4 linked regions of the Elephas maximus indicus genome follow. The main gene of each other region encodes a partner of the protein of the gene in region 3 in a complex. Links are inferred from orthologs where the notes say so. Each region holds a gene or a part of one and is shown on either strand. Other genes may lie near its edges. The genes, in order: PLCB3, CCKBR, guanine nucleotide-binding protein G(q) subunit alpha and CASR.

Evidence for each region.
Region 1: the proteins of guanine nucleotide-binding protein G(q) subunit alpha (region 3) and PLCB3 are in contact, whole or in part, in a cryo-EM structure (PDB 8UQO), measured with the Homo sapiens proteins. The link is inferred for Elephas maximus indicus from reciprocal best matches to the Homo sapiens genes GNAQ and PLCB3. Residues at the interface, in NP_002063.2 of Homo sapiens: Pro185, Thr186, Thr187, Ile189, Glu191, Pro193, Arg202, Gln209, Arg210, Ser211, Glu212, Arg213, Arg214, Lys215, Trp216, Ile217, His218, Val240, Glu241, Glu245, Glu249, Glu250, Ala253, Leu254, Arg256, Thr257, Ile258, Thr260, Tyr261; in NP_000923.1 of Homo sapiens: Pro257, Arg258, Leu259, Asn260, Glu261, Val262, Leu263, Arg707, Asp709, Lys710, Ile719, Asp721, Gly722, Ile723, Val724, Ala725, Ser845, Asp846, Tyr847, Ile848, Pro849, His852, Tyr855, Ala856, Ala858, Leu859, Ile860, Asn861, Pro862, Ile863.
Region 2: the proteins of guanine nucleotide-binding protein G(q) subunit alpha (region 3) and CCKBR are in contact, whole or in part, in a cryo-EM structure (PDB 7F8W), measured with the Homo sapiens proteins. The link is inferred for Elephas maximus indicus from reciprocal best matches to the Homo sapiens genes GNAQ and CCKBR. Residues at the interface, in NP_002063.2 of Homo sapiens: Arg30, Arg34, Asp35, Arg37, Arg38, Leu40, Ser198, Val199, Phe341, Lys345, Asp346, Ile348, Leu349, Gln350, Asn352, Leu353, Lys354, Glu355, Tyr356, Asn357, Leu358, Val359; in NP_795344.1 of Homo sapiens: Thr87, Val88, Thr89, Asn90, Glu151, Arg152, Ala155, Ile156, Pro159, Leu160, Ala162, Arg163, Val164, Trp165, Gln166, Thr167, Ile241, Leu245, Gly248, Leu249, Val331, Leu335, His394, Arg396, Phe397.
Region 4: the proteins of guanine nucleotide-binding protein G(q) subunit alpha (region 3) and CASR are in contact, whole or in part, in a cryo-EM structure (PDB 8SZG), measured with the Homo sapiens proteins. The link is inferred for Elephas maximus indicus from reciprocal best matches to the Homo sapiens genes GNAQ and CASR. Residues at the interface, in NP_002063.2 of Homo sapiens: His63, Leu196, Gln197, Ser198, Ile323, Tyr325, Ile337, Arg338, Phe339, Phe341, Ala342, Lys345, Asp346, Ile348, Leu349, Gln350, Leu351, Asn352, Leu353, Glu355, Tyr356, Leu358, Val359; in NP_000379.3 of Homo sapiens: Lys644, Ala645, Asn647, Arg701, Val702, Leu704, Val705, Phe706, Ala708, Lys709, Ile710, Pro711, Thr712, Phe714, Phe801, Arg873, Thr876, Ala877, His879, Ala880, Phe881, Val883, Ala884, Arg886, Ala887, Thr888, Leu889.

What each region holds. Positions count from the first base shown.
Region 1 is NC_064825.1:127,429,816-127,437,610, reverse strand, and holds the start of PLCB3 (1-phosphatidylinositol 4,5-bisphosphate phosphodiesterase beta-3), read right to left. Parts: upstream 3,095-7,795; 5' UTR 2,959-3,094; coding exon 2,860-2,958; intron 1-2,859. UniProt on the Homo sapiens protein: Catalyzes the production of the second messenger molecules diacylglycerol (DAG) and inositol 1,4,5-trisphosphate (IP3).
Region 2 is NC_064825.1:59,928,012-59,935,446, reverse strand, and holds the start of CCKBR (gastrin/cholecystokinin type B receptor), read right to left. Parts: upstream 3,043-7,435; 5' UTR 2,991-3,042; coding exon 2,840-2,990; intron 1-2,839. UniProt on the Homo sapiens protein: Receptor for gastrin and cholecystokinin. The CCK-B receptors occur throughout the central nervous system where they modulate anxiety, analgesia, arousal, and neuroleptic activity.
Region 3 is NC_064827.1:94,374,617-94,382,489, forward strand, and holds the start of guanine nucleotide-binding protein G(q) subunit alpha, read right to left. Parts: upstream 3,044-7,873; 5' UTR 2,947-3,043; coding exon 2,811-2,946; intron 1-2,810.
Region 4 is NC_064819.1:12,719,591-12,726,520, reverse strand, and holds the start of CASR (extracellular calcium-sensing receptor), read right to left. Parts: upstream 3,021-6,930; 5' UTR 2,870-3,020; intron 2,700-2,869; exon of another isoform or gene 2,538-2,699; intron 1-2,537. UniProt on the Homo sapiens protein: G-protein-coupled receptor that senses changes in the extracellular concentration of calcium ions and plays a key role in maintaining calcium homeostasis.

The sequences.
Region 1 (7,795 bases), on a different chromosome or scaffold from region 3:
AGGCTTTGGCCCAGGCTTGACCCGTGACTTCTCAGTCATCCACCCACTGCTTCTGCCAGTGAGCTAAGACAAGGCCCCTTCCAGTCCACGGGTCCTCCACAGCTCTGTACAGCCCTCAGGACAAGGCAAGGTCCTCATCATGACGTTTGCGGGCCCCACGCTCTGACCCCTCCCAGCCTCAGCTCTTGCCCTAAGACCTGTCACGTGGACCATGGACCACAGCCCACCCTTCCCCACTCCCAGCTTCGCCTCATTGTTCCCTTTGCTGGGATCACCTTTCTTTCTTTCTCTCCCGTGAAATCTGACCCACCTCCTCGGGGAGGCCTCCCCTGACCTCTACCCGGGCTTGGTTTCCCCAGGAGACCCCAGAGCTCCCTGAAGGTTGGAGCCGCTGGTAGCGCCCTTAGCTGAGCACACTATAGAGGTTTATGAGATGAAAACAGAGGGGGCGGACGTCTGACCTCCACAGCCCTCTGCATCCCTCAGGGTACCAATATGACCAGCCACCCTTATACCCACTTCCAAGTCCGTTTCTCCCTATCCTGCATCCCCCAGGACTCCCAGCCTCACAGCTCCCCCATCCCACCCTGCACCCCCAGGACCCTCACAGCCAGCCTCGCAGCTCCCCCCACCCCACCCTGTAGCCCACAGAACCTTACAGCCTCACAGCTCCCCCACCCCAGCCTGCACCCTCAGGACCCTCACAGCTTCATAGCTCCCCCACCCCACCCTGCACCCCCAGGACCCTCAGAGCCTCCCAGTTCCCCCACCCCACCCTGCATGCCACAGGACCCTCACAGCCTCACAAAAGAACAGACCGAGTCCCCCCAAAAGGGGGACTGTCCCTGCCTTTGCAACAGACAGTGAATTCTGTCCACCCTCAAATGGGCTTGTGGCTGGCAGGGTGCAGGGAAGGGCCCCCTGGCCCCATTTTCTGAGGAAGGCCTAGTCCCTGGCTTACTCCCAGGGCCACCCAGTGCAAATGATGGGCAGCAGCCAGAAGGGGCTGTCATCAAGGGCTTAGACTTGGCCAGGGCCCAAGTGGCCAGGTAGCCACAGGTAGAATTCTCCTCCCCCAGGCTCCTCCGGACAGAAGAGGACCCAACCTCACCTTCGGTGCCACCCCGGAACCGCTGCTCCCTGTCTGGTGGGTAATTATATCACCATCAGCATAACAGCTCACACTCTCTTGGCCCCTACTGTGTGCCGGGCACAGTTCTAAGCACTTCATATATGTGAGCTCACTTGGTCCTCTCAACAACGCCATGAAGGGTGTGCCTTTGTTATTCCCATTTTACAGATGGGGAAACAGATACAGGGAGGCTAAGGAGCTTGCCCAAGATCATGCAGGGGTGCCAGGATCTGCAGGCAGGAAGTATGGTGCCAGCATCTTGAGGCCTGGGAAGCAGGGGACCAGGACCTCTGCCAGGGTTCTAGCTCCAGCCTCAGCACAGCTCCATTGTGGAGTCTGGGATGAATCTCCTCTTTCAAGACCTCAGTTTCCCTTTCTGGAGAATGGGGACTGTACCAGCCCCACCCATCTCAGGGCTTGATTACAATGGACAAGAGATTGATCTGGGGGAAGAGGGGATGGGAGGCCCCAGAACTTCTGGGGTGCCTGAGCCACCCCACCTCAGTGTGTTGACACCCATCCCCAGCTGCTCTCTGTAGGATTCCCAACCCTGCTCTGGGCCTGAAGCCCCAATACTGTGGGGAGGGGTGAGTTCTGACGGTGCTGTCCCTGGTACCTCCCTCTGCCCCTCCCCAGGGGCCCAGCCTTTAAAGGTAGCCCCAGGCCCCCTGCTCTCCAGCCCCAAGCCCTTGTCAGCACCCCCACCCCACCCCCTGGGCCCTCTCTCTGCTCCCACTTCCTTATTTGGGTTTATCACACTGGAAGGAAAAGGAGAAACTTTTCCCTACAGGCTGGCCTGGGGGGAGGGGTCTCCCCACTCCCCAGGCACCCAGGCACTTCTGGTGGCACACCTGCTGCCTCAGGCCACGCCTCCAGGTCCTCCCTCCCAGCTCCCACGCCTCCTGCCCCACCCAGCCGGAAAGGAGCCCAGAGTCTTCCAGGCCTCTGGTCTAACTGGGAAGGAGCAGCGAGGAAGCACAGGCCGACCGGGTGGAGGCCCTGAGGAAGGAGGGCCCCAGGGGGCAGAGGGGTGGGAGGTGAAACTGAGGGTAGGGCGCAGGACTGGGTGGGAGGCCAGGGTGTCTGGGAAGCAGAAGGGCAGGGCAGCTGGAAAGGGTAACCAGGCTTTATTGGGGTTCAAAGTCCCCAATACCAAGGAGTGGGGAGCAAAGTTCTCCAAGGGTAAAGGAACTTGCGGAGGGCAATGCCTCCATTTGGGGGGTCTTGGTGCTCCTGCCTGAGCAGATGGTTGGGCTGAGATCTAGAAGCAGGGCAAAGGGGTGACAGCCAGAATGGGGTGAAAAAGTGATGAATGAGAGAGTAATGCTCAGACGATGGCACTGGGAAGAGTAGGGTTCCAGAAAAGGGGTGCCCTGAGCCAGACTGGGTGCCAGGGTCCCAAGCCACAGCAGGATGTCCAGGGCTGGGCAGGGGTCTGTGGACCAGGCCACTGTAGGGGAACTAGAATTAGCCTGGCAGGGAGGGGTGGGAGGAACGAGTGAAGGGGGGGGGCAGGATTTATTAGCCAAGGACTGGGGAGCCAAATTTTCCAGAGCTGAGGGATTGGGGCGGGGGGGGGGGGGACAAAGTCTTCATTAAGAGGACGCCTGGGGACTCAAGTTTCCGGAGCGCAGCCGGGCTGGGATGGGGGGGCCGGGGCCAGGCCAGGCTGAGATGGTCCCCGGCGTCTAGTCGAGCTTGAGCGGGGGGGAGTCCCCCACACTTACCTCGTCCCATTTGATGAACTTACTCCCGCGCCGCAGGGTCTCCACCACGGTGGGCGGCTCCAGCTGCAGCGCGTGGACACCGGGCCTGGCGCCCGCCATGGCCGGCCTGGAGGCGCGTCGGGGACCCACCGGTCCTCGACAGGGACCGACGGCGCCGCTGGTCTTTCCGCGCGGCTTCCGGGCGGCCCGCTCCGGCCCCGCGGCGTCAGCGCCCGCCCGCCCGCCAGTCTGTCCCGGACCGACCAGCGACTTCGCGGGGCCGGGCCGGGGCGGGGCGAGGGCGGGGCCGCAGCGGGGCCGCCCCTCCCACGGCGTCGGCCCGCCCGCCCCGCACTGGCTCCCTCTGGCGGCCGGGCTGCCACTGCAGTCAGAGAGGGGCTGGGGCCAGGGGCAGGGGCGCACCTGGCCTGGGGCTTGGCTGGGGGTTCAGCTTCGGGCCCAGGGCCCAGGGTGGGGAGACGTGGGGCCAGGATGGCTGCTGGAGGCGCAGCTGGGGGGTTGCGTGTAGAAGACGCTGCCGAAGGCGGCCGGGGTCTGCCCGCTAACTTTCTGGGGGACAGACCAAGAGCACTACTGGAGGGCAGGACTTGAGGGGGGTCGGGGGCGCAGAGCTCTGTCCCCCGCCCCACTCCCGCGGCACTTAGCTGAATGCAGGAAAAACCATTTCCACCCCCTCTCTGCCCTCACTTCGCCTCACCCCTCCCGCTGACGCGCGGTCCCCTCCCTGGGAGCACTTAGCCGGCTAATGGGCCTCCTGCCGGCAGCGCCCTCCCCCCTCCCTGGCCCTGGGAGGCCGGGCGCCTGCCGCCTCCGAGGACCCAGGCGTCCTGGCCTTCCAGGGCGCACCCCGGAACAGCCCCCTTCACGTGCCACAGGCCCCTCCGGACTGAATCTGAAGCCTGCCCCTGTGGGCCTCGGGCTGGAGACTGCGCAGGGGAAGCTGGTGGTTTGGCCGGAGGGTCAGAAGCCTCCTAGGTATCCAGAACAATGGAAGTTGAGGAGGGGCTCCGCAGTGCCCGGCCCACAGCAGGTGCCCTGAAATCTGCGTTCCAGGGTTGGGAGGAGGGGAAAGCACATGGGCAGGGGATGGGTGGGGGCTGCAACCCCTCCCGCAGGGCTTGGCTGGGGGGGCTCCTGCCTGGGGGCCCCTGTGGGAGCCCCCCCAATACGGAGGCAGTAGCGACAGCAGGTTTAAAGTAGAACTCATCCAGAGGGGCCAGCCAAGTCACCTAGAAACCCAGAAAGAGCAGAGCTGGTTCTGGGGGAGGAGGGGTCAGCCAGGGAGGAGCCGGCTCTGCCAGCCCCCTCTGCCCCAGGGCACTCAGACCCTGAGGGGAGCTGGGCCTGCCACTGGCCATCCTCAAATCCCCACCATGCCGGGCACCAACTCTAACCTAGGGAATTTTGCCTTTGGCCTTGGCCCTGTGGGGAGGATTATTATCTCCACATGAGGCCCAGAGAGGGGAAGGGACTTGTCCAAGGTCACACAGCTTCAGAGGTGATTTCAACCCTCTTACTTGAAGGCCGGCTCCCTTCTTGCCTCTACTCCCGGCCCTTGAGGAGACAAAGAAAAGGGGTAGGACCATCTATCTTTGTTCTCTCTCTCCAGGGCAGCAGAGCCAGGTCCCTCAGATTCACAGGCACCACAGAACCCTCTAGGGGAACTGAGCCGCACAGGGTGAAGGTCAGCCTCTATGCCCATAGACCTGGGTTCAAGCCCACTCCCTCTCGCTACCACCAGAACCTGGTCTCTCTGGGCCTCAGTCGCCTTCTCTGGAAGCTGGAGGTTGAAGAGGATTGAATAAGCGAATGAATGAGAGAGATGACCCCTGGCTACATGCAGCTTACCACCTAAGGAGTAGATGGAAGTCAGGTGGTAGGGGCATCAGGGAGAAAGGAGGAGGAGGAAAGCGGGAAAGGGTATAGGTCAGCTTAGGGCAGGGGCCCCTGCCAGTCAGGGCCAGGACCAGAGCTTGGGGAGGTCTGAACTGTGTCCCTAGACCTTGGCACAGGACTCAATAGATGAGCTGGGCATTAACTCCTTAGAAAACAGGATAGGAGCCTGTTTTCTGGACCTCAGCCTCTCCCCTTCCCTCCCCACCCCTGTGTCCCCTGAGGCCAGGGCAGCCCCCATTAATCTTTCCACCTTGGACGCTCATGATGGTAATGGGGTTCTCAGAAAGCAATAATGGTAGAAAGGAAGCCTTGAGTAAGGAGTGGTCACTGCCCTCAGGACCCTCCCTAGGGCCTCTGCCTCAGGGAGGCGCTAAAATCAGCCTTAGCAGCACTCTGGTGGAAGGGGGCTGGGATAGCCTGATCCCAGAGGGAAGGGGAGCGATGGACACACCCAGCCCCAGAAGTTTCAGGCAAGGGAACTAGGGCCGATAAGTGGGCTCAGGCAGCACTGGGCTCTTGGCCCCAATCACCAGAGGTCAGGATAATCAACCCCCTTGAAGAGGCTCAGGGCAGGTAAGTGACTTGCCCATGGCCTCTTAGGCTGCAGAGCAGAGCTGGGATTTGAACCTAGCTCTTCCACTCCAAGCTAAGATCCTGTGCATAGCAGCCCAGCTAAAGAGAAGCTCCAGGCCAGCATGCAGGTCCAGCCTCACCAACAGTTACTGGGTGAGTGGCCACGGGAAGGGAATGGACAGAGAGGGGATGGCCCCAAGAATCTGGGTGTGGCTTGGGGGTGTCTGTGGAAGTGGAGAAGAAGAAAGGGCATCACTGGGCACCTCCCATCCTGCCTTGAGAAGCCCATAGGTGACCTCTGACATTTGGACAGGACAGGCCTTCACACCTGCCCAGAGGGGAGGAGGAACTGGGTCACGGAGCATCTAGGGGACAGAACTGGGGCTGGCACCCCAGTCGTGGTGGTTTGCAGGCCCCATTCCCACAGCAAGCTGTGAGGCCTTAAGGGCTGGTTAGGTATTTCACCCCTCCTCTGGGTGAGCATCCCTGAGCCTCAATCAATGTTCAGGTTCAGAAAGCACTTGAAGGGCTCAGCCATCCTTGTGGGGTAGGTGGGGTGAGGTGGGGCGAGGTGGTGAATTTGGACTTGGGGCAGAGTGTTGATCTCATCATGCCAGGCTCTCCAGGGGTGGGTCTCCTTGTGGAAAGGATGGGTCCCACCTGATCTGCAAGAGCAAGGGTCAGCCCTTCCCTGGCCCCCTTGGCTGGGTGAAAGGAGGCTAAGGCCAGAAGGAGGAGCTGGGGAGGGAGCAGGCATCAGCTCACTCTACCCCGGCCCTGGACTGAGACCTGTGAGCCTGCCCCTCAGCCCAGCCCCTCAGGGAGAAGCCTAGTGCCCCCTCACCCCCACACCCACTATTCCCAGACTCTGTCTTCTCTTTGTCTCTTCTTCCCAGCTACAGGGTAGGCACAAGGAGGTCCAAGTCCTGAGTTCATGTTTGGCCACAGCACCAGCTGTGTAATCCTGGCCAGTCCCAAGTCATCTCTGAACCCCACCTGCTGCAGAGGGCTTCCTGGCTTCCAGGACAAGTGGGTCTGTGAGGGGCTGGGACGGAAATACCTGGTGCTTCTCAGACCCTGACAGTCTGCTTCGCGTGGTGGAGAGTGAGCCTGCCATCTGAGGAAGCATTCCGGCAGGAGCTGCACAACCTTATTGGGTGGTGTAGACAGGAGGCAGGGAGGAGTGTAGAGACTTCGCATCAGGGGTTTGAGTCACGCAGCCCAGGTTCAAGTCGGAGCTCTACCTCCATCTATTTGTGTGACTTCATCAACCTCTGTGGTGCAGTAATTGGACCTTATATGCATGTTCTTACTTAATCTTCACCACTATCCTCTGAAGAAAAGGAGACACAGAGGAAGCCATTCATTCACTCATTGATTTTTCAGTCAATAGTTATGGAGTCTGCCAAAGTTCCAGTTGCAGGGGGTTCAGCAGCAATGGAGTCATTTGTCCCATACACGGGGGTTTGAGGCCAACCTCGGGCATGAGCAGTAGCCAAGGTCTAGGACATCTGGGCACCATGGAGCTCATGGTCTAGAGGTGGGAGACAGAAAAAAAAAAAAAAAAGAGACAATTTAAAGATACAGAAAATCAAACAGGATGAGTCACCTTGAGAGGCATCAGTGAGACGTAAAGGACAGAAGAAGCCACAGGACGAAGATTTGGGGAACGGCAAATGCGAGGCCCTCGCGCTAGAACTGGCTGGGCGCCGGTCTCCATAAGCGCTCACTAAGAGATCAGCTGTTATTATTATCTTTATTATCATGAGTCCTGGCTCAGCCACGTCCCAGCTCTTCGCCTGACGTTCCTTGTATGTACACAAAGAGGTTGCGGGGTGCACAGGGCCGCGCCCTGTCGAGGCCGGTCCTAGGAGGGCGCCCCAAACAAGTTCCGAGCTTTCCAGCCCCAGCACCGCCGCGGGGAGGGGCGGCCATGCGGGGCCGGCCCCGCGAACTACACTCCCCATGGTGCCATTCTCCGCCGCCATCTTGGCCGGTGGGCGGTGGCTGCCTGGGGTCTGGCCCTTCAGGGCTGGGCAGCCTGTGCCCACCTCCATCCTTGTCTCCTCCACAGGGGGTGCGGGACCTCGTCGGGCAGAGCAATCGGGGATCCGGGCAGCTCCTGCCTGCCTTCTCCCTCCTCGACCCGGGGGAGCCGGGTCCACGTGTCAGTCCACGCGGAGAAACTCGCTCGCCCCCCGTTGGCCTAGGACCGGAGAACCAGATGTCCGGACTCCGGTGTCTTCTCCCCGACCCTGGCCCTCACACGGTGCCCACTCCCCTCTAACCCAGACGGCCCCATTCCTGCCTCAGTGGGGACCGAACACCAGGGTCCCTGCCGGGGAGGAAATACTGGTAGCGGGCGCTCAGAACGCTTGAGCTTGGAGCAGGAAGATTAAAAAGGGTGGAGGGCAGACAGACTTCAAAACCCTGATGGCCAGACCCTCCCCTAGCCCCGCCGGCGGCG
Region 2 (7,435 bases), on a different chromosome or scaffold from region 3:
TTCCAGCACTATCCTGTTTTTCCTTTGTTTCTCTCTCTCCCTACAAAATTTCTTGAAAGTTTTGTCTACACACCCTAGTTCACTTCTCAAACCCCCTCTCCCACTGGCCCAACCTTTAACCTACTGCAGTCAGGCCTCAGCACCCACAATTCTACCTAAGAACTTTCTTGCTGTTGAATATGAAGGTCACTGTTCTGCCCTTTTCCAACTATATTGCCAGTGTTTGACATCATTTACCCTACCCTAAAAAGAAGCCCTCGTGGTGCAGTGGTTAAGCACTTGACTGCTAACTGAGAGGTGGTGGTTAGAACCCACCAGCCACTCCGCAGGAGAAAGATGTAGCAGTCTGCTTCCGTAAAGATTATAGCCTGGAAACCCCACGGTGCAGTTCTACCCTGTCGCATATGGTTGCTGTGAATTGGAATCGACTCAAGGACAGTGAGTTTGGTTTTGGATCCCACCCTGCTTGAAACTGTCTTTTCCCTTGACTTCTGGAAGGACATAGCTCCTGTCTCTCTGATAGTTTGGTCTAAATCTATTCCATGGACTCTCCTTCCTTTGCCTGGCTTTTAAATATTGGGTTTCCCCAGGGTCCTTTCCTAGGACTTCTTTTCTTTTCATTCTACACAATCTTTGGATGATTTTATCTATTCCCATGGCTTCCATTACCTCCTCTAGGCAAAGGCCTTTCAAGTCTGTATTAATAGCTCAGACTTCTCCCTGAAGCTCCAGACCCACAGATTCAACAGCCTACTGGGCAATTTAACCTGGATGTCTCACTGGCATTTAAACTCAGTGGGTTCCAAACTGAATTTATAATCCCTTCCAAAGTTGTTTATGCTCCTTTGTTATCCTTCTCATTATAAAGCACCAACATCCATCCAATTACTCAAGCTAGAAACCTGGGTTTCATCCCTTGACCTCTCCCTCCCACCCCACTTCTAATCAATCACCAAGTCTTGTTGATTCTGCTTCCAGAAGTGGCTCTTCTCTCCATCTCCATTGCCAGTACCTTTGTCTAAGCATCTTGTTTCACCTGGATAACTGTAATAGCCTTCTAAAGTGTTCCTCTGTCCTCCGTCTCATGTCCTCCAATCCATCCTCTACACTATACAACGAATCCTGGTTTAAAACCTTTTAGTTGTTCCCACTGCCTTCAGGATAAAATCCACACCCTTTAGCTGGGTCTATAAGAGTCCGTAAATACACTAGTTTGATCTCCAGCCTGAGCGTTCATTATTCCCCTCAGATGGTACAAGTCAGTCAGAAACTATGTCACACTGATTAAAAGTGCCATGAATTTACACTTTGGGCTTTTACACATACTTTCCTCTGCTTGGGATGCTTTTTTTTTTTTTTGCCTCTTCTTCCCCCTCGCTTGGCTGGATCTCTCTCATCTATCTGATTTCACCTTAGATATCACTTCCTCAGACTTGATTTCCAAGTCTGGGTTTGGTGCTTGTCTTCTGTGTTCCCACAACCCTATAAGGCACTTTTCATTTGGGGCTGCAATTCCCTGATTACTTGTCTGTCCCCACCACTAAACTGTGAGCTCCATGAAGTAGAGACTGTTTCAGTTTCGTTCAACTCATTCCCCGGTACCTAGCACAGTCTCTGGTTCGGTAAATATTTGTTGACTGAAAGAATCTAAGTGAGTGTGTGTAACAACTGAGCTGAGAAAGCATGCATTATTAGTTTGTGGAGTAAATCAATGCTTGAACTACAGTGCATTCTAACTATTCCCTTCTTAACACTGTTTCCTCTCCTAGAATTGCCCTCCTCCCTTTTCTGCCTACAGAACTCCAATTCTAAGAGTCAGCTCCCCTCCTCTTGAAGTTCTTGGTCCCCATCAGTCTGAACTAATTAATTCTGTCCTTTAAGTGTTGACAGTTCAGACCCTCTCACGCCACTGGCCACGCTGACCGTGATTTATCCATTGGCTTGTCTCTCCTCTGTACTTGACTATGGGGACATCTTTGTGTCCCCAGAACTGGGAGATCAGGTGTTCGATAAACATTTAAAGAAAGGAGGGGTGCAGGAATTATCAAGAAAATGATGATGTGAGCTGATGAGAGGATTGAAAATCTCTCTTGGGGACTGGGTGATTGGAAGTAGTCTGAGGAGGGTAGGAAGGGGGAGAAGATGGTGGCACAAAGGGACGGAGGCTATGGAGTGGGCAGGCTGGCTCATGGAGAGGGTGAGATTTAAGGATAGGCAGGATGCAGAGGGGGCCTGGAGACTTGGAGACAGAGAGAGAGAGTACAGAGCCTTGAGAAGAACCTCAACTTGGGAGATAGAGGGGTTTGAAGGCAGTACCCAGTGCCGTCGAGTTGATTCCGACTCATGAGGGGTTGGAGGAGTGAAATGGGGAGCAGCCCTTAGGGGGTCAGGCATGAGGATCTCCTTTGGGAGGGCTGGGGCTTATGGTGGGGGACAGAGGAGATTACAGCTCTAACTTCCCATTCAGGCCTTCCAGAATGCTCCCTCCTCTAACCAGATCCCTTCTTTTCTCAATCTTCCCTTCCTTTCTTCCCTCCCTTCCCCAGCGTGGCACCAGGAACTGGATGTAAAAGGAAAAGAGATATCTCCAAGGGTTGACAAGAAGAGGTCCTTGTCTCCCAACTCTCTGGGTCAAGGAGGGGGATGTGTGTTGTGGGGAGGGCTGTGAGGAGCTGGTGTGGTGGTGGGGGGTCGTCTGTGTGAGGGGCAGCTGAGGGAGTACTCCCAAGGAGATGGTGTGGCCGTTTGAGGCGGCAGTGTGGAGGGCGTGGGGAGCTTCTATTACTGCTGTAGGGTGCTGTGAGAAGGAGCTTGTGAGGAAGGTTAGGGAGGCACCCACCTCGTGTCCCGGCTCCGCGGATGCGTGGGGACTCGCAGCTGAGGTTGCTGGCACTGCTGCCGTTGAGGAGGAGGCCCCCTGGGCGGCACAGAGAAGCCCCCGACCCAGGTCCGGGTCCCGGCACGCTCCGGTTCAGCCTCAGCAGCTCCATGGCCCCAGCGGGGCCAGCTGCCTCCGTCCGCTGGGCCGGGCGGGCTCCTGCCGCGGCTCCACCTGCTCACGCTGCGATTCAGGCTCAGACGCCCCCGCCCCCCGCGCCCGTCTGGTCCCCGCCCCAGCTCCGGCCCCACGCCTCAGCTCTGCTCTGCGCGCCCTGCCGGGGCACTGGTGCCTCCCTGGCGCGGGGCCGCGTCTGTCCGGCCAGGTGATGCCTCCGCCCCCGCCCCCTGCTGCGGACTCACCCGCCCCCTCCCTGCGAGACTGTCCTCCAAGGGTCCCCCCACTCCCTGGATCTCTCCAGTCTTCTCTTAGAGATTTCCTTCCCTCTCTCTTCCCCCGCCCCCGATTCCGGGGAAATCTTGGGGAGAGAGAGAGCCAGAAGGCCAGAGAGAGAAAGAGATGTTATGTGTGTGTGTGTGTGTGTTTGTTGGTGGGAGGGGCCGATGCGGGGTGGGGGGATAAGAGGGGTGGAGTAGGGCGCTACTGCCCCGGGTTCCTGTATCTCTTTGGATGGGGTAGGGAACGTGCAGGTGGCGTCGGAGACAAGGGCTGCGTGTGGGGGTCACCCGCTGCAGCGCAGTTGCTTTAGCCCCAGAGAGGCGCGGAGTGGCCAGTGACCTCGGCACTCTCGCTAACCTAATGCCCCTCAGCTCGTCACCGCAGGGCTGGGGTAGCCTCTGCATCTGCCCCGGCACTCTCCACCTCCTACCCAAGGCCCAAACCCAGGCTTCCACCCAAGGCTCAAAAGAACTTCCAGTAGCTGGCAGGGGAGGGCGGGGGAGAAGGAGCGCATTTGTCCCCAGGAAAGCCTTGGCAGGGGAAAGGGCTGCCTGGAGGAAGAGTCTGACTTGGACTTTGAGAGCGGCCAGAGGTGGTGGTGAGAAGTGCCCGGGATAAACGGGGATGAGATAGAGGATGGTTCCAATCCGAGCCCAGCGCAGGCAGAAAAGGGGAGGAAGAGGCTGGCTGGCTTTCTCCGCGGTTTCCAGGCAGCGCCCACTCCCACCCAACACGCTGATGGCTCGGTGTTTGCTCTCAGCGCAGGTGGAGCGGCCGGTGTAGTGCGCCTGGTTCCCACGAGAGGGGGCCAGAAGGGGGCTGGGTCACCGAGGGGCAGCGGCAACAAAGGAACAGGGGGCGTGTGCAGGACTGAGGTGGGTTCAGCTTCTTAGGGCAGGACGCCCCCTAATATTTCAGCACTGCCAGCTATCCATCCTCCTGTATTCCTAACAAACTCCAGTCCCCATCAGTAGCTGCAAGAGGTGGGGGCATCAGTCAAAGAGCAGATTAGCGTGGGGATGGGTTCCGGGTTTATGGGGAATTCAGAGGACCTGGTCCATCCAGCGCTGAGCTGATTGCGGCTGGAGCACTGAAGGAGGGTTTCAGCCTGAGGTGGCTGGGGATGTCCTCACCTGCCCCTCTTTCCTTCCTCCTGGCAGTACCTGCCTTGCCCATCAGAGGAGCCTGATTTGCTGTTTATTCAGAGGCAGCCCAGGTGGGGCCTCAGATAACCTGCTGTACTTTTCCCACATTGGATGGAGGGGCGAAGTGAGGGTAGGGGAGAAAAGGGAATGTTGAGGAGAGAAAGGTGGAAATAGGAGTCATGGACAGTCATTCACTTATTCAACAAAGTATGTGCCAGCTATAGGGCTGAACCCTGGCTGTCCAATACAGTCTGTGCTTGAGTAGCTCCCAATCTAGTGGGGAAAAATGCTTGCAATATATGTCATAAATGCACCCACCAGGTTGCGCAAGTCAGAAATTTAGGAATCACCCTTAATGCCTTCATTCCTGTGGTGGAGGCTGTGATGCAAAACCCAGACCCCTTCAAAAATGAAGGATTTATTCTTATCTCAAGCTGGATTTATTCTCAATTTCATACCTGAGCTGAAGAGAGCTGGTTTATCCAAGGTGATGTTTGCTTTCTAAACCCACTATCCTAAATCTAATGACTGATCAGTGCAGAGGTATAAAGTCCTCATCCCAATGGAGGACAACTCTGAATGACATTTACAGCCCCAGAGCTCCTTATGGGGTTGACAGAGGCCTTCATTGGGACTAAATTACTGCTTAGCTTCTCCCTTTGCCCAGTTCTGTTTTTGTCCTCTCTCTTGCACAGGTGTTGACTCCAAGAACGCTCTTAGTAAACATCTCTGTTTTAGAGTCTACTTCTTGAGAATTCCAACTGCATTACTCTCATACCCAATCAATCACAAAGTCCTGCTGCCAAGCAATTTGGAAGACAGCTACCTGGCCCACCAGCTGGAAGAGCTCCATATTTATGCCTATTCCCAAGAAAGGTGGTCCAACTGAATTTGGAAATTATCGAACAATATCATTAATATCACATACAAGTAAAATCTTGCTGAAGATCATTCAAAAGCAGCTGCAGCAGTATATCGACAGGGAACTACCGAAATTCAAGCCAGGTTCAGAAGAGGACATGGAACCAGGGATATCATAGCTGATCTCAAAAGGATCTTGGTTGAAAGCAGAGAGTACCAGAAAGATGTTTACCTGTGTTTTATTGACTATGCAGAGGAATTCAACTGTGCGGATTCTAACAACTCATGGATAACATTGCAAAGAATGGAAATTTCAGAACCCTTAATTGTGCTCATGAAGAGCCTATACATAGATCAAGAGACAGTCTTTCGAAAAGAACAAGGGGAATACTGCGTGACCTAAAGTCAGGAAAGGTGTGTGTCAGGGTTATATCCTTTCACCATACCTATTCAGTCTGAGCAAATAATCCGAGAAGCTGGACTATATAAAGAAGAATGGGGCATCAGGATTCCAGGAAGGCTCATTAACAACTTGCGTTATGCAGGTGACACAACCTTGCTTGCTGAAAGCAAAGAGGACTTGAAACTTCCTGATGAAGATCAAAGACCACAGCCTTCAGTATGGATTACACCTCAACATAAACAAAACAAAAATCCACACAACTGGACCAATAATCAACATCATGATAAATGGAGAAAAGACTGAAGTTGTCAAGGATGTCATTTTACTTTGGATCCACAATCAACACCCATGGAAGAAGCAGTCAAGAAATGAAAAGATGCATTGAACTGGGCAAATCTGCTGCAAAAGACCCCTTTAAAGTGTTAAAAAGCAAAGATGTCATTTTAGGACTAACGTGCACCTGACCCAAGTCATGGTATTTTCAATTGCCTCATATGCATGGAAAATGGGTGATGAACAAGGAAGACAGAAGAATTGATGCTTTTGAATTGCGGTATTGGAGAAGAATATCGAATATACTATGAACTGCCAAAAGAACGAATGAACCTGTCTTGGAAGAAGTGCATCCAGAATATTCCTTAGAAGCAAGGATGGTGAGACTTTTTCTCACATACTTTGGACGTGTTATCAGGAGGAATCAGTCCCTGGATAAGGACATTATGCTTCTTAGAGGGTCAGCGAAAAACAGGAAGACCCTCAATGAGATGGATTGACGCAGTGGCTACAACAATGGGCTCAAGCATAACAATGATTATGAGGATGGCACAGGACTGGGCAGTGTTTTGTTCTGTTGTACACAGGGTCACTATGAGTTGGAGCTGACTCGTTGGCAGCTAACAACAAGTGTTCCTTGAATCAGTCTGCTTCCGTCTTACTGACATTACCCTACTGGCATCTCGAGCTCTTGTACTACTCTCCCAGCCTAAGTGGTCTACCACATTTTACTGATGCTTTCTTATGCCCATCCACTACCTTATAGCCTGAGTAATGTTTCAGAAAATAAATTTGATTATCCCACTCTTCTGCAAGCAAACCCTTTAACAGGGCCTGCAAAATCTGTGTGGTTTGGCTCCTACCTGCCTCTCCAACTTATCTCAGGCCACTATGGCCCTTGTTCTCTCCACTGTAGACATGCTGGACTTCCTTTAGTCCCTTTCATTTGCTTTAATTCCTTCAGCTACATGGTCTTTGCATATGCTGTTAGCTCTTTCAGAAACCCTGGTGGCATAGTGGTTAAGTGCTACAGCTCTTAACCAAGAGGTCGGCAGTTCAAATCCACCAGGTGCTCCTTGAAAACTCTACGGGGCAGTTCTACTCTGTCCTATAGGGTCGCTGTGAGTCGGAATTGACTCGACGGCAGTGGGTTTGGTTTTTGTTTTGGGTTAGCTCTTTCTGGAAGCTCCTTTCCTTCCTTACTGCCTTATCTCCTACTCAACCTTCTGATCTCAGCTCAAGCAGCAATTCCTCAGTGAAGCTTTCCCTGGCTTCCCTACCTGTGGCAGGCAGAATTAAAAAATGAGCCCCAATGACCCTCACCGTTTAAAATCTTTTTTCCTTGAGTGTGGGTGGAGCCTGTGCATATAATGAGATATCGCTTCTGTGATTATATCACCTCTTATGGCAAAAGGGATTTTGGAGATGAAATTAATGTTACTAATAAGTTGACCTTAAGAGAGATAATCTAAGTCT
Region 3 (7,873 bases):
AAATTTAGGAGTCCACCCTTATACCCCTGTCCAACAAGCCCATTAAAATGGCATCATGCCTTGACCCACAATTTACTTTGAAAATAATTTTATACTGAATATCAATATGCAGGTGATTCTTCAATTTAAATAAGCTGGTTAAAAAATACTAGGAAATCTTTAAACTGTGAAAGAACATATAGTGTCACCCCCTCTGGGCTGATACCGATTAAATGAATGGAGGAACCGGAAGGCTCAGTCTACTCAGCAGCACAGCACACATCAGGGCTTCCTCAAAGGGAACCCCTCCCCAACACCTTCCCTTGTTCCGCAAATCAACCATCATTTCCCTCTTGGACTCAAAAAATTGTGAAATCACGCTCCCGCACTCACCCACAAATCTACACTTAGTGTATGCTGTGACTATATCCACATTATAGATATTGCAGTGGTTACATGTTATCAGTGCAATAAACCTAGAACATAAAGCTGTACCAGCTCTTACATGATATCCAGTGATCGTGTTTCTGATAGACGGCTGTAGCATTTTTAAACCTTACTTATAAACGGAGATTCTCAATTTATGTCATATTTCCCTACCACTTCTAATAGGTCATATGGGGGCAGGAGGGCTGTATTAAACCCTACTCAAAAACCTAATGGGGGGGGAAGTTCTCCACACCAACACCACTTTAGCAGGAACACTGTTTTACTTTCCATTTTTCCCCTCACGAAATCATCTCCTAGTTCATGTTTAAATGCACAGTGTGTTATTTAAATGCACAGTATGTAATCAGGCATCCATATATGTTTTATTTCCCCAGCAGTCTTCCTCCTAGGCATTCAAACATAGGCCCTGGGGCAAAGCCCCAGCTCTAACTCAGCTGCTGGGAAACTCAGAGCTGCTGTCAATTTCAGGCAATAGGGCTGGCTTGAGAGACCTCCAACGCCCTGTTCACAGCTAGGCAGAAACAACTAACGACTGTAAACGGCAAAAGAAAAATCAAATCACTCGAAAGACAAATCACTGAAATCACCCTAAAACACATGCTTTTTCCCGTAATTGAGCCCTTAAGCACTCTATACATTTTTCTTGCCCTCTCTATTTTCTCCTCATCTTGAGAATTCAGAAAACATTCAACTATACATTGTCAACCATTAAAAGCAACCCAAAAATGAGAATTAAAAAAAAAAACCTTCATTTTCCAACTGGAGTTTCCCTTAAGCCCACCTCTTTCATCTAGGGCTCTGCCTTCTGTTCTTTATAAACCTGTGCACACTTACCTAATCGGGTTTCCAAATGAAGACATAACGCATGGCATGTGAATTAACCATTTGTAACTATGTGTGATCATTATATTTTGTTCCTTCTTGTAAATGATCCAGTACATAGCAGTTCAGTCACAAAGGCAATTGGTTCCTTGAGCCAGAAGATGGAACGCTCAAGATAAGAAAATGCCTGCTTCTCAAACCCTAACTGACAATGCAATATTCTTCTCTTACTGAAATGTTGGAGAAACATATTTATTATACAAGCAAAAAGCCAGGACACAAGTGCAGACATTTTTCAGGCCTGTTACTGCAAAGCTGTTTGCACTTCCTACCACAATAAAAGCTCAGAGTTATGTCATGCTGGCTTGTATGTGAACCCTGATGGCTTGACACTGAACATTCTCTCGGAGATAATAATCAATAGAATTCCTATTTGAGAAATGGCATTTTCTTGCTAACTTAGTGTTAAAGCAGAATGTTGAGTTGTTTGTTTAGAGATTAAAGGGAAATTTTTGCTACAAGCTTCCCGTTTTCCTTCTAGCCCAGATTCCAATGATATTAAAACGATGTCTGTTTAAAACAAACAAAAGGTTTCTATTTGTTTCCATGGGAGTAATTGGAGGCTGCATGGGTTTTCAGTAGTAACTATTGTGAATTCAGGCCTACATCTGGGTTGCCTTCATTAAACAAAAGATACCCGTCGCTGTCAACAACCACACAGCACAGCGCTCCCATATCCCTCATTTTTATCCGGAAGGAATGGTGCAGACGAGAAACAAGCCTGTCACTATCCACTGGCCAAGAAACTCCTCTGGGGTCCCTCCTTTCGGTGGTCTGACGGCTAAAGAATAGCACTTCTGTAGCATTTGGGGCTGCCCCTCTCCCCAGTACATAAGCCCCCTTTCTTTGGAGGACCAGGCACTCCTATACCTCATCACCACTCTTGGCGAATCCAGCCGCGAGTCTGCCCACCGCTCCCCAATTAACTCCAGACCCCAGAAGGCACTGATAGCGGATGCACACGCCACTCCACCACACACCATCTTCTAGCGTGTCCTGGCTCCGCTCGCCACGCTCGGGGACACACACACACACAGCTCCCCACGCGACCATCCCACCGGGCGCCGCGCTACGACACTTTAAGTTCAACCTCTCTGCCCACCTTCCCACCCCCGCGCCCCGAGCCTCTCCCGTGAAGTGATTTTCCGTTTAGCAGATGCACAGCAGATAAACGCGCACCCCGAATTCACAGCCCTAGGGACACGAAAAGGCACACGCCAAGGCACCCGGCAGGGCAGCATGAAGCGTGCGTGTGTGTGTGTGTGTGTGTGTGTGTGTGTGTGTATAAGTGCGCGCGCGCGCGCGTGTCTGTACGCGTCCGCGCGCCTGCGGGTGGTGGCCAGGGGCGCGCCCGCGCGCCCAGGGAGGGCAGGGGTGAGCCACAGGCGCCGGGGGCTGGGGGCGCCATGGGCAGCTACCCCGAGGGGCCGGGAGTGGCGGGCGGGGACACGGAAGCCCGGCGAGAGGGCACCAGGCGGCCGGGCCCGGGCCGTACTCACCGAGCAGCAGCAGCTTGAGCTCCCGGCGGGCGTCCCGCTTGTCCCTACGGAGCTGCCGCTCGATCTCGTCGTTGATCCGCCGGGCTTCCTTGGCCTCCTCGCTCAGGCAGCACGCCATGATGGACTCCAGAGTCATTCTTCCAAAGTGCCTCCGCTGCAGCCTCGCCGGCACCCCCTGCTCACACGCGCGCACACACACCCTCCCACCCTCGCTCCCCGGAGGCAGCGGTGGCCGCCGAGCCCTCGCCGCCCGGGCGCGCGGCCGGGACGAGCTCGGGGAGCCGCCGCGGGGACCACGGCCAGGGCCGGGCCACCTGGTGGGCCGGGGGGCGCGGCGGGAGCGAACGGCTCGGAGTGGTCCCCTGGGCCGCGGGAGGAACGAGGCGGGCGCGGGAGGCGGCCGCGGGCGCTGGCTCGGGGGGCGCGCGGGGGAAGGCCGCCGCGCCCGGCCTCGCTCAGACGCCCGCGCCTCCTTCCCCGGGAACGGGGAGCCCGCCTCGCCCCCCGCGCCGCCGCGGCCGCCGAGACTCCCCTAAGCTGGGCGCCGGGCGGCAAGAGCACATCCACCGGGACGTCCCCGCAGCCAGCGGCCGCCGACGGCTCCCCGCGCCCGGCGCGCCCGCTGTTCGCCGCCGCCTGACACGGCTCCCGGGCGCCCTCGGCCCTGCCCGCGCCCACCGCCCGGCTCGCGCGCAAACACCGCTTGCCGGCCGGTTCGACCGCCCGCCGCCGCGTACTCCTTCCTCCTCCTCCGTCTCCGCCTCCGCCAGACGCCCACCCCCGGCCTCGATTGCCAGGCGCGGAGCGGCTGCTCACTGCTCGCCCTCCCCCTCGCCACACACACACATTTTCTTCTTTCTCTGAACTGGAGCACAGATCCGGGAGGGAGGCGGCAGCGGCGGGAGGAGGGGGAAGAGGGAGCTAGGGGACGGACGCGGGAGGAGGGGAGCTGGGAGGCGGGGCCGCCCGGCCCCTCCTGGAAGGCTTTCCTGGGTTCGCAGCCGCCGCGGCGCGCCTCCTGGTGCGGCTCCGGCCTCTCCCGCGCAGCTCACCGCTCGGGACCGGCCCCCTCCGGCTCTGCGGGCGCTTCCCGCTCCAGCGCTCTCGTAGGGGCCCGCGGGCGCAGCGGTCACGGCCGCCCCCGGCGGGGGTCGGGGCGGGGGCTGGGTCCCCCTGGCTGGCTGACGCGGTGCCCCAACCGGCGGCCGCTGCTGTGGTCTGGGGCCGCCGCCAACCTGCCGCTGCCGGGCCAACCGCCCGGGCGTGGTAAAGCAGGAATATGGCGGCCTCCGCCTGCCTGGAATTCCAGCCCTCGAGCCCGGGAAAGCAGCCTCGGCCCCTGCTGGAAGTCGGAGGATTCAGGCCCGCAAACCCACCGAACAGCCTGGCGGCGCACACACCCTGCCCGCTCCCTGCAGGCGGCGGTGGCGCTCGCGCCAGGGCCCCCTATTGCAGCAGCGCCTTTCTGCCCCCCCCCCCACTGCAGCCGTAAACCCGCTTGTGTATTCTTTCTCATTCCTGTTTCTAAAACGCCATTCGGTTAGAAAGTATCTTGCATCACCTCTGACCCTAGTTCAGTCGTAGAAAATAAAGATCATCTGAGTTGTGGGGTGGGACTGGGGAATAGAAGAAATAGTCACTGGTTCTTGGAGGGGCCAAGAGGAAGATTAACAGGCGAAACGGTCCACAAAGAAATCTAAATCCTGAGTAGAAAAATGAAGACGCCCAAGTTTGCAAGAGCTTCCCGATGGCCTCCAACTTTTCATGCCATTGAAGGTGGTTTTGTTTTGTTTTTTACAAGGCCGCCTCTTGTTTTTGTGAAGACACATGGTGTTTAACAGCAAGTAATCAAACTTATTTTCCTAGACGGAGATTCAGTTATGGATGACGTATGGGAAAATGCAAAATAATGTGGGATAAAGGAAAAGGAAAAAATACATATATAAAAATGAGAAAATCAAGATTGTCCCAGCAAAATTCCATTCTGATTATTTGTTTTTCCACTTTTGATTGAGGCTTATTTTGTTGTGATGTACTACTGATAAATGGCAAAAAAATTTTTTCCTTGCCGATTGCGGGTGTTGTTGATCTAACAGCTAGAAGAGGTGAAAGAAACCCGCATTGCTTCCTGCTCAAGTATACTTTATGAGGAGAGTCTCTTTTTCTCATTTTATGTTTTCTCTGAGATGTCTCTGGTGCAAGGTGCTGATCCAGAATGTAAAGTAAGGTCAAGCCAAGCCAAAGGTAGCCTGTACTATTGCTGTAGGTCAGCGCACGTTGGGTTCTTGGTTGACAGCTCTATGACTTCGTTCTTTCCATTTGTCATTACCCCCATACCACCCCAGCACGTACACACACACACACACACACACACACACACTGTAAGCCAGAAGGAAAAGCAAATCATGGAGGTATAAGATCTGCTGTTTTAGTTTCCTTTTTAGAGGAATGGAGCCCCGGTGGTGCAGTGCTTAAGAGCTATGGCTGCTAACCAAAAGATTGGCAGCTCAAATCCACCAGCTGCTCCTTGGAAACCCAGTGGGGCAGTTCTACCCTCTTATATATAGGGTCATCATGAGTCAGAATCTACGTGACAGCAACGGGTTTGTTTTTTGTTTGGTTTTTAAAAGAATATTCAGCCCAGAAAATGATTCAATTTCACCTTGACCAGGAAAGCAGACAGGGCAAATCTCGCCTCTGTTATGCAAAAGTCTATGAAAAGCCAGTAAACTTGCTGCCAGATTAAAAATTTAAAATTAAGTGACTGATGAAATTAAAGATTGAAATTCAATATGCAGAAATTTAGAATGGCTTCTGGGAAAAAAACTTAATGATGAGTCTGCATTCTCTGCCATACGTATATACTTGAGTTTCAGAGAGGCAAAAAACAATAGAAAATCAAATGACAGCGAGCTTCAAGTCTGCGGTTTCCTCACAAAGGATGCACTGAGTCTTTTGAAAATGTCTCTCAAACAGTGCTATCAAACTATCAGGTAATCTGTTTTGACTGAATTGACCTATTATTTGATGGAAGAAATTAAACTGTTTCAGCAGATGGTTTGTTATTGGTAGTTGCTGTCCAGCCCATTCCAACTCATGGCCATCCTATGTGTGCAAAGTAGAACTGCTTCTTAGGGCTTTCGAGGCTGTGGCCTGTCGGAAGCAGATCTCTAGGCCTTACTTCTGAGGTGCCTATGGGTGGGTTTGAACCTTGTAGATACATTGGAAATCTAGTTTGTCACCCTTGCACACCCAGTATCAGTGACACTCCCTGGCACTCAATAGATATTTGAATTAAAAAAAACCCGTTGCCATCGAGTCGATTCCGACACAGTGACCCTATAGGATAGAGTAGAACTGCCCCATAGTTTCCAAGGAGCACCTGGCGGATTTGAACTGCCGACCCTTTGGTCAATGGCTGTAGCACTTAGCCACCATGCCACCATGGTTTCCATAGATAGAACAAATCAGATGTTTCTTCAAGTACTGGGAAGAAATCAGGAAGTAAGGAAAACCAACGCAATAATAGAGCCATGTGTAGGTGGCAAGAAGGAAAGAGGAAAAGAATATTCCATGTCTGAACCTAGACTTATCCAGAAACCTTTACCTATATATCTGAAAAGCATTTATCAAACAAATATTCATATGTCACACAAAAAAATCCTTGCAGGAACTACTAAAGTTATCGGCCATGTTCTAGAAGCATATACTCTAAAATATGCAACTAAACATGAATCATGTTACAAAATGTCAGTATATCAATCAAGAAACATTTATTCATTGCCCACTGTGTATAAATAACAAAGATGAAGGTGCAGGAAGAGAGAGCCACTAGGGTGAATCAAATATGGTCTTGCCCTCAAGAGGCTTATAGTCTTAAGATATAATGAGGCTCTGAACAGCTGTAATAAAAGACAAAATGAGATTAATTTTATTAAAGTAGGGGTAGAAGTGACAATGTAAAACGTTTTAGAAAGAAAGGAATAATTCCTTCTGTTAGGGAGAACTGAAGACTTCACGAGGAAGGTGGAGAATGAATAACTTTTCAATAAATGGGGATCTACACCTCATAAAAATAAATGAGCAATCCCAAATCACCCCAGATAGCAAGATAAAAAAAAAAAACATTTTGAGAATTTACTAGATAGCTGAAAAGCGAACCACAAAACCCAAAGAACGTTAAACTCCAGAGGAAAATGGGAAGACTGTCACATCTTCTTTGGTATCCTAAGGTGGATACCTATCACCACAATCACATTACCTGTCGTTGGGACTCTGGGGTGGGGCAGAACAAAGCAGTAAAAGTCATAGTTCAGTATTGTGAGGAGTGATCCCAGACTCAATGAAAAGGCCCAGTTCTTGTAGAAAGAGCTCCTGGGGAAGGGAAAGCTTGTTAATCAATGACTCTCAGCACTTCTTTTGTTCTCATAGTCACATAGCATGGCTGCTTCATAGCCTGTGCCACCCTGCTGTAATTGTCTACTTATTCTCCCTCTCTCTCTCTCCCAGGAGTCCTTGGGCGGAGCAAACAGTTAAGCACTGGACTACTAACTTAAAAAGCTGACAGTTCAAACCCACCCAGAGGCACCTTGAAAGACAGGCCTGGCAGTCTGCTTCCAAAAGTTCACAGCCTTGAAGGCGCTACGTATAGAGTAGTCCTACTCTGAAACACGTAGGATCACCGTGAGGCAGGATCCACTTGACGGCAACTAACAACTCTCCCATAAGATTGGGAGTTGCTTGAGAGCAGGGACTGTGTCTTCCATAACAGTCGTCAACGCCTAGCCCAGAGCAGATACTCAGTAAGTGACAAATAAACAACCTGCCTCAAAGACAAACACACTCACAGATTGCCTGTCCCAGGCAGGGCATTATGCCAGAGCCATCCAAGGCCCTTCCTTAAAGCCTTTATACTCTATTTGGGCGGTCAGTCGCATGCGTTAACGAACAAACAACAACACAAGGTGCAGAGCATTCCCTGCTGAGTATAGGGAATAGATTGCTATAGGTGTTCAGAAGGAGGAGCAGTTATCCAAGCCATTGTATGGATAGGCATACGATGA
Region 4 (6,930 bases), on a different chromosome or scaffold from region 3:
AACGTCTGCTTCCCCACAGCATCTGCAAACTCCAGGAGGGCAGGGACCTTGGCTGGTTTTATTCACCGTTTTGTCCCCGGTGACTGGCATATAGCCAGGCACTCATTCTGAATGAATGATTCTTTTACATCTCACTCACGCAAAGCCCTGTTCTCTTAAGGATTATACTCTGTTGCTTACCAGTCTCCAACTTGTGCTCAACCCATTCCTCTCCCTTATTCCCCAAACCTACTACAAGGACCAGTCCTTATTTTCTAGTCCCCTTCCCTCATTCAAGACTTCTTAGGAAGTGGCAGCTTCTAACTCGTCTGAAATTTCTGACATGTGTGAGATCCAGATCAAAGTCATACCAAAAAAACCAAACGCATTGCCATCGAGTCGATTCTGACTCATAGCGACCCTACAGGACAGAGTAGAACTGCCCCATAGAGTTTCCATGGAGCGCCTGGCGGATTCGAACTGCCCACCCTTCGGTTGGCAGCCGTAGCACTTAACCACTACACCACCAGGGTTCGTGCAACATGAAAAAACGACTAAAATAAAGGAAAACACGGTGACTGGAATGCTGTTAGGTTATTTTAAACACTGTACACAACGCCAAAAGAACCTGTTAATTCAGTAAAAATAACTTAAACTACTTTTGTTTTCTTGAAAAATGGGCTGGTTTGCTGATTTTTTCCCCCTTTCAACATGTTCTGGTCTTGCTGAGACAAAGTCTTGGGAAACAGTTGATTGTGCTGATTGTTGGCAAGAGATAAGCCACGTGTGGTCTCTTAGCAAAATTCTCTGGGCGCATTGCTAAATGACCGATCTCCCAGGGCCCTCTGCTCCAGGATTCTCCTCCATTCAAGGGTCTTGGCCTGCTCCTCCCCTCCTGTCCTCCTGCTACTGCCTCTCCTACAATGCTACATCTTTCTCCCTCAGGGAGAGTGGGTTTGAACTGCCTTTTGGTTGGCAGCCCAGCACTTAACTACCGAGCAACAGGACTCCTCCCAGGTTCCTAAAGGGGGAAAAACCTACTCTAGTCACTCTGCTGGGGATGGGATTGGAGGGATGGGGGGTGGGGGGACGGGGGGAGTGGGAAGGCATAACTGGCAAAGTTCTACTTCCAGAAATAGGAACTAGTGAGGTATTAATTTCTAGAAATCTAGAGCATTTTAGGAAACATCCTTCATTAACTCTCCTCAGTACCTGACCCTACTTAAACTGCACTTGGAAAGTCCAGTTTAGGGGAAAGTGTAAGTGAATACAGAACTTGTCACAGACTGCTCTTGTGGTCACTGAGAGAGTTAAGGCAAGTAAATGAAATGTCTTCTCATTAGTGGGCTTCCTACCCTGAGGGCTACCTCAGTGAAACACAATTTCACAATGACAAAGGTGGTGTGAGCAGGAACACTGGAGATTAAGGGATGGGGCAGTGATGCTATTTTCTTCTGGTACTTCCATTACGCAGGGGATGGCATGGGCGGGCAGATTATCCAACAGGGAAGGTAAGCACGGTACTTACTTTGCTTACTAGATCGTCTGTAGTGAACAATTTCACATTTTTTCACCACATCAAAGATTCTGCTTCTAGGTATGGCTGGCATCTGTCTCTCTCCCAACCCCACAGCACCTTCCTACAGAACTAATCCACAGTGAACAATTTCGCATTTTTTTTTTTTTTTGTGGTGAAAACATGTGAAATTGTTCACTACAGATTAGTAAGTAAAAACAAATCAGGCCGTGTTTACCTTGCTTATTGGGTAATCCTTCCTGGGTGGGATAAAGAATCAAAGGAGGGGGACAGAACAAGGAGTAAGAAATGATTTGGGCAAAAAAAAAAAAAAAAGGAGGAGAGAGATGAACAAATGCAAATGCTATTTACAAACATTATCTCTAGAAGGTAAACTTTGGTAGCGTTTGCTTATTTTTAACCATGCGCATGTATTACTCATTGAAAACTATAAATGTAAAGTAATAATAACAATAAAAGATTCTATTATCTTGTACTCTTGCCACTCACCCCAAGAACTACAGGGTGATTAGGCCCCGGGAACTGACACCCTAACTTGGCGTCACAGAGGCGAGGTCCCCGGGGCAGCTGGCTGGCTGGTTCAGGGATCCTGCCAGGACAGGTGCCTACACCGTGCGCGCCCACCGTGTACATACACATTAGAAAGCCGCCTGCTTCTCTGTTAACGCGTGTAAAAAGGGAGTTTTTTCTGACCGTGTCACGGGCAGAAGTAAGGCGGAGGCACAAGACACTACCACAGCTCCTCTTCCTGCTGGCACTCGCGTTCATTCCCGAAGACGGCCCACCGCGCCTTCTGGGGCAACACTGACCAGCCGAGCCCGGCACCCAGGCAGCTTTTGGTCCTGTAACCTGGGCCCTGACCTCTCAACGTCTCCCCACCCACCCAACAGTGCTTCTAGGTCCGAGCTGCTACGGTGTGCGCCCTCGGTCTGGCCCTCGAGCCAGTGCCCCCCAGACCTCGCCACGGCCCCTCCCCACTCGGGGCGCTTCTCGCCCGCCCCCTCGCGTCCCTCCGTCCTACCTGGCGCCCCGGCCCGGGCTCCCTCGCACAGGACAGCGCCGGATCTTCGGCTCTGGGTCTCCGCGAGGACGGGCTCCGGGCCGAGCGCAGGACGGCGCGCGGGGCACGCTCCCTGATGCCAAGGTCACGGTCCGGCAGAGGCGCGCGGCTCCCTGCGCTCCCGGCGCCCGCCCTCGGGTCGGGCCACAGCGGCCCCCGCGGACCCCCAGGCCGACCCGGAGCTCCGCCCCTCTCCCGCTCCCCGCCCGCCTGTCCCCTTGGGGACAGCCGAGCCCCGCTCCCCTCCGCGGCGGCTCGCTAATCCGCCAGCCGGGTGGCCCCGGCTGCCTCACCGTATCCCAGCCCGGTGAGTCCTCCGGCGCCGGATGCCGAGGGCGCGCCTTCCCTCGTCGAGGCCACGCGTCGGGTCTGGTCCCGGGAGACCGCGGGCCCGCGCTCAGGTTTTCGCCTGACTTCTGCGGGGCCGCGCCTCGGCTTCCCCGTCCCCTCCTAAGAGATGGAAAGAGGTTTACAACCTTGGTTGGGAGCTTGCGACGCCGCCAGCGTTCACTGTGCCAAGAGTGGAGAATTTTTTTCTGATAAAAGACCAGAGATTCGCAGTGGAATAAATATAAATCCCGTGCCAAAACTCTTACTCATTCTGCCGACTCAGGTCAAGTGTTGCCTGTGTCGCCAGGGCTTCCCAGTACTCCCAAACTGCTCCCTCCTTCCACTCATCTGCCAGGAGAGGAGGGCGCGCGGTTCTCGCCCGCTGGCCGCAGGCGCCTGCTGGCGCGTTCTCTCCTCTGCCCGACCGTGAGCACCTTGAAGACGGGACCCAGCCTTGCTCATCCTTGAAGCCAGCCCCTCGCAAGGCGCCCGCCACCCATCTCGCGCTAGGATATTTTGCAAATAAGCGGAAAAATTAATTTCTTTGTAGAAAGCTAGTTTTTACTTTGTACCACCAAATAAAGCATATTCCTTTGGGTGGGCAAATTGCTAGTCTCTATAAAAGCCATAAAAATTATTACCCCCTCTGGTGCAGTAATTCCCCTGTTGGGGAAATTTCCAGAATGAAATTATTCTCATGTGCAAGATGTTCATAGCAGGATTATTTATTACAAATAATACTTTTTAAAAACCACAAAAAAAAAACGAACAAAGCCAACCCGTCAACAGTAGGAAATTGGTTAAATAAATTATAGTAATTTAATGGGATACTATACAACCATTAAAGTGATAAATGCCAAGGCAAGAGTGCCTCAAATTCTTTTAAAACATGTTGCATTTTTTAAAAAAGGAAAATATGCAACATGAAAAAGGGTTTACAAAATAATACTAAGCAAAAAAGTAGAAAAATTGCATAGCTCTACCATGTTTAACCATTTCATATGAAAATGCAGTTTTCTTGTCTGTAAAATGTGAATAGCACCTCCCCCAAGGAGTTCTTGGAGTATGAAATGAGATGCTCAACGAAGTTGCCTGATACATATATATCTAGCCTCATATGCATGCTAATCATAGCCCAGTTCTGCCCATTTTGCTTCCTTCCCCTGGGTAGGAGAAGGAGCTGAGCAAATATTCAAGCGCCAAGATAAAGGGAAGAGGACAACCTAGTTAAGGATAAATGCAAAGTCCTCCTCCCGGCCCAAACACTCAGCAGTACAAGTTCACAACGAAGGATCCGACTCATAGCGACCCTGTAGTCGGAAATCGCAGCTCAGCAGCAGCAGAACATATCAAAATGTCTAGAGACTTCAGTTGGCTACGGACATATCCTATTCAGTGCCCAAAGGATAAAGAAACAATAGTCTGAGGCTGAATGACCTCCCTGCAAAAGCTGGCTCACACCTGGGCATAATTTTCAAATCTGGACACTGTCCTTTAAGAAAGCATCACTCTGAAGAGCTATTATTACTCCCATTTTAAAGATGAAGAAACTTACAGGCTTACAGAGGTTAAGTGATATATCCAGGTGGCGCAGCCAGGGAGCAGCAGACCAAGACCTGATCAGCTTGACTGTAGCCTGCAGGCTTGATCAACTCATCAGTGTGTCCCAGTGTGTGCCTCTTCTAATAGAGGAACTAAGACAGGGAACAGAGGGGCCCCCAAATCTGCAATTCACATAAACAAATGAAAGTAACAAAGTAACAGGAAATGGGCCCCAAACGCAGAAACAAACCCATTCCCCAGAACAATGGAGCAGGGTATCAGAAAACAGCCCGGAAACTTCTTATCGGAAAACGGCCCGGAAACTTCCTTAAAGTTGTCTTTCCGAAGCAGTCAGATGAAACCAGCCCCAGGGACATGTGCAGAACATCCACCTGTGACCGCTGTGTGACCTTCCACCAGGGGTAGTGAGGGGCTGCAGCCACAGCTGGGGAATCGAACTTGGGGAACAGGTGACTGCACAGGTGCGACACCCCATAATAAGTCTTGCTACGGATCCCAGAAGCCTCTGGGACAGGAGCCGTCTTAAAGACATCTTAAAAAGCTGCTTCACACTTGCACTGCGCACCTTAGTTAACCTATCCCTGCCCAAAACGGGCCACTTGCGGGAAAACCCCCGCTGTGCCTCTGAATAAACCTGAATCCTGCCCCCCCACCAAGAATTTTTGAAAACCCATGTAAGTCCTTTGTTCTGAGAGACGGGGTTAAGTGTTGCCTGGGTCCTCCTCATCTCAGCTTGCAAGCCTCTTTAATAAAGCTTTGCTCGTGTGGAAAATTCTCTGTGCCTTGCCTGCTCATTCTTGACCAGTGAGAGGCAAGAACCTTGTTTAAGTAAAGGTGTAGAGGCACCGGCAATAGAACACGAGACGGTTTTGAGTGCTACACAATGACTTTAACTAACATTGAAATACATGATGGAAAAAAAAAATGCCATTTTCAATTCTCTTGATCCCATGGGTTAGGTCAAGGTTGTCGTTGGGGCTGTTAGATGCCATGGAGTCGATTTTTACTCATAGTAACCCATTGTGACAGAGTAGAACTGCCCCATAGGGTTTTCTAGGCTGTAATCTTTATGGAGGAGCCTGGTGGCACAGTGATTAAGAGCTCAGCTGCTAACCAAAAGGTCAGCAGCTCGAATCCACCAGCTGCTCCTTGGAGACCCTGTGGGGCAGTTCTACTCTGTCTTATAGGGTCACAATGAGTCGAGATAGCCTCGATGGCAACAGGTTTGGTTGTTTTGGGGGGGTTTAATTTTTATGGAAGCAGATCGCCAGGTCTTTCTCCCACATAGCCCCTTGTTCGAACCACCAACATTTTGGTTCATAGCTGAGCACTTAATTATTGCACCACCAGGGCTGAGAAGTATCATTTTTGCTGTACTTTGTCTTTAGACCTTTCTAACACTTGCTATAGGAGCTCTGGTAGCACAGTAGTTAAGAGTTTCACTACTAACAAAAAGGTCGGCAATTAAAATCCACCAGCATTTCTTGGAAACTTTATGGGGCAGTTTAACTCAGTCCTATAAAAATCTTTTTATAGGGTCACTATGAGTCAATGGTAAAGGGCTTTTTTTTTTTTTTTTTTTAACACTTACTAATTTCCTGTTTTAACAAAGAGAGAGCCTACCTCAGGCTCAGAACTTTTGCTCGGCAATAGTTCCTAAGCAGAATTTAATATCATCATTTTCTCTTCCTTGAAAAATAATATATATATTCTAATAGTGACAAAGAATGTTTTCCACATACAAGTTGATGTAGTTTCCTTTTAAAATAAATTTAATTAAGTAAGAAAATTGGGTAATTTGAGAGATACTGAGGAACTCATAGGACCAGTGGTGTCTGGATATGGTGAAATGGTAGAGGTGGTACTCAGATGGCTGAAAAATGGGAGATACTGCCTCACACTCTGTTACGACCAGTGGGTGGAAGGTGTGGTGAGCCAGGTTTCAGTTCAAAAAGAATGAGAGCTTTCTAACAATCATGGCTGCCAGGAAAGGCGCTGAAGGGCTCCCTTGGGGGAATGTTGATCACGTGCCTTTCACTGTAAGGGCTGAAGCAGGAGTTTGACAAAACACCAAGGGTTGTTGTTAGCTGCCATTTAGTCGTCCCCCCCCCCCGCCCCGCCCCGCCCCATGGTGACCACATGCACAGGTGAACTAATGATAGATTGTGGGTTGGACTGATGTGATCCACAGGCTTTTCACTGACTGATTTTTGGAAGTAGGTCACCAAGCCTTTCTTCCAAGGGGCCTCTGGGTGGACTGGAATCTCCAACCTTTTGGTTACCAGCTGAGCGCGTTAACATTTGCACCACCCAAGGACTTCTCCAGATAGGCCAGAAACTTTAATGCTCTTGCCAACCGGGAAAATCTAAGACTGTTGACAGCGGAGCTTCCTAGAATCCTAACCACTGGAGAGACCGAGACAAATTTGGAGTAAATTGGAGTAAGTTACATTAACTCCCA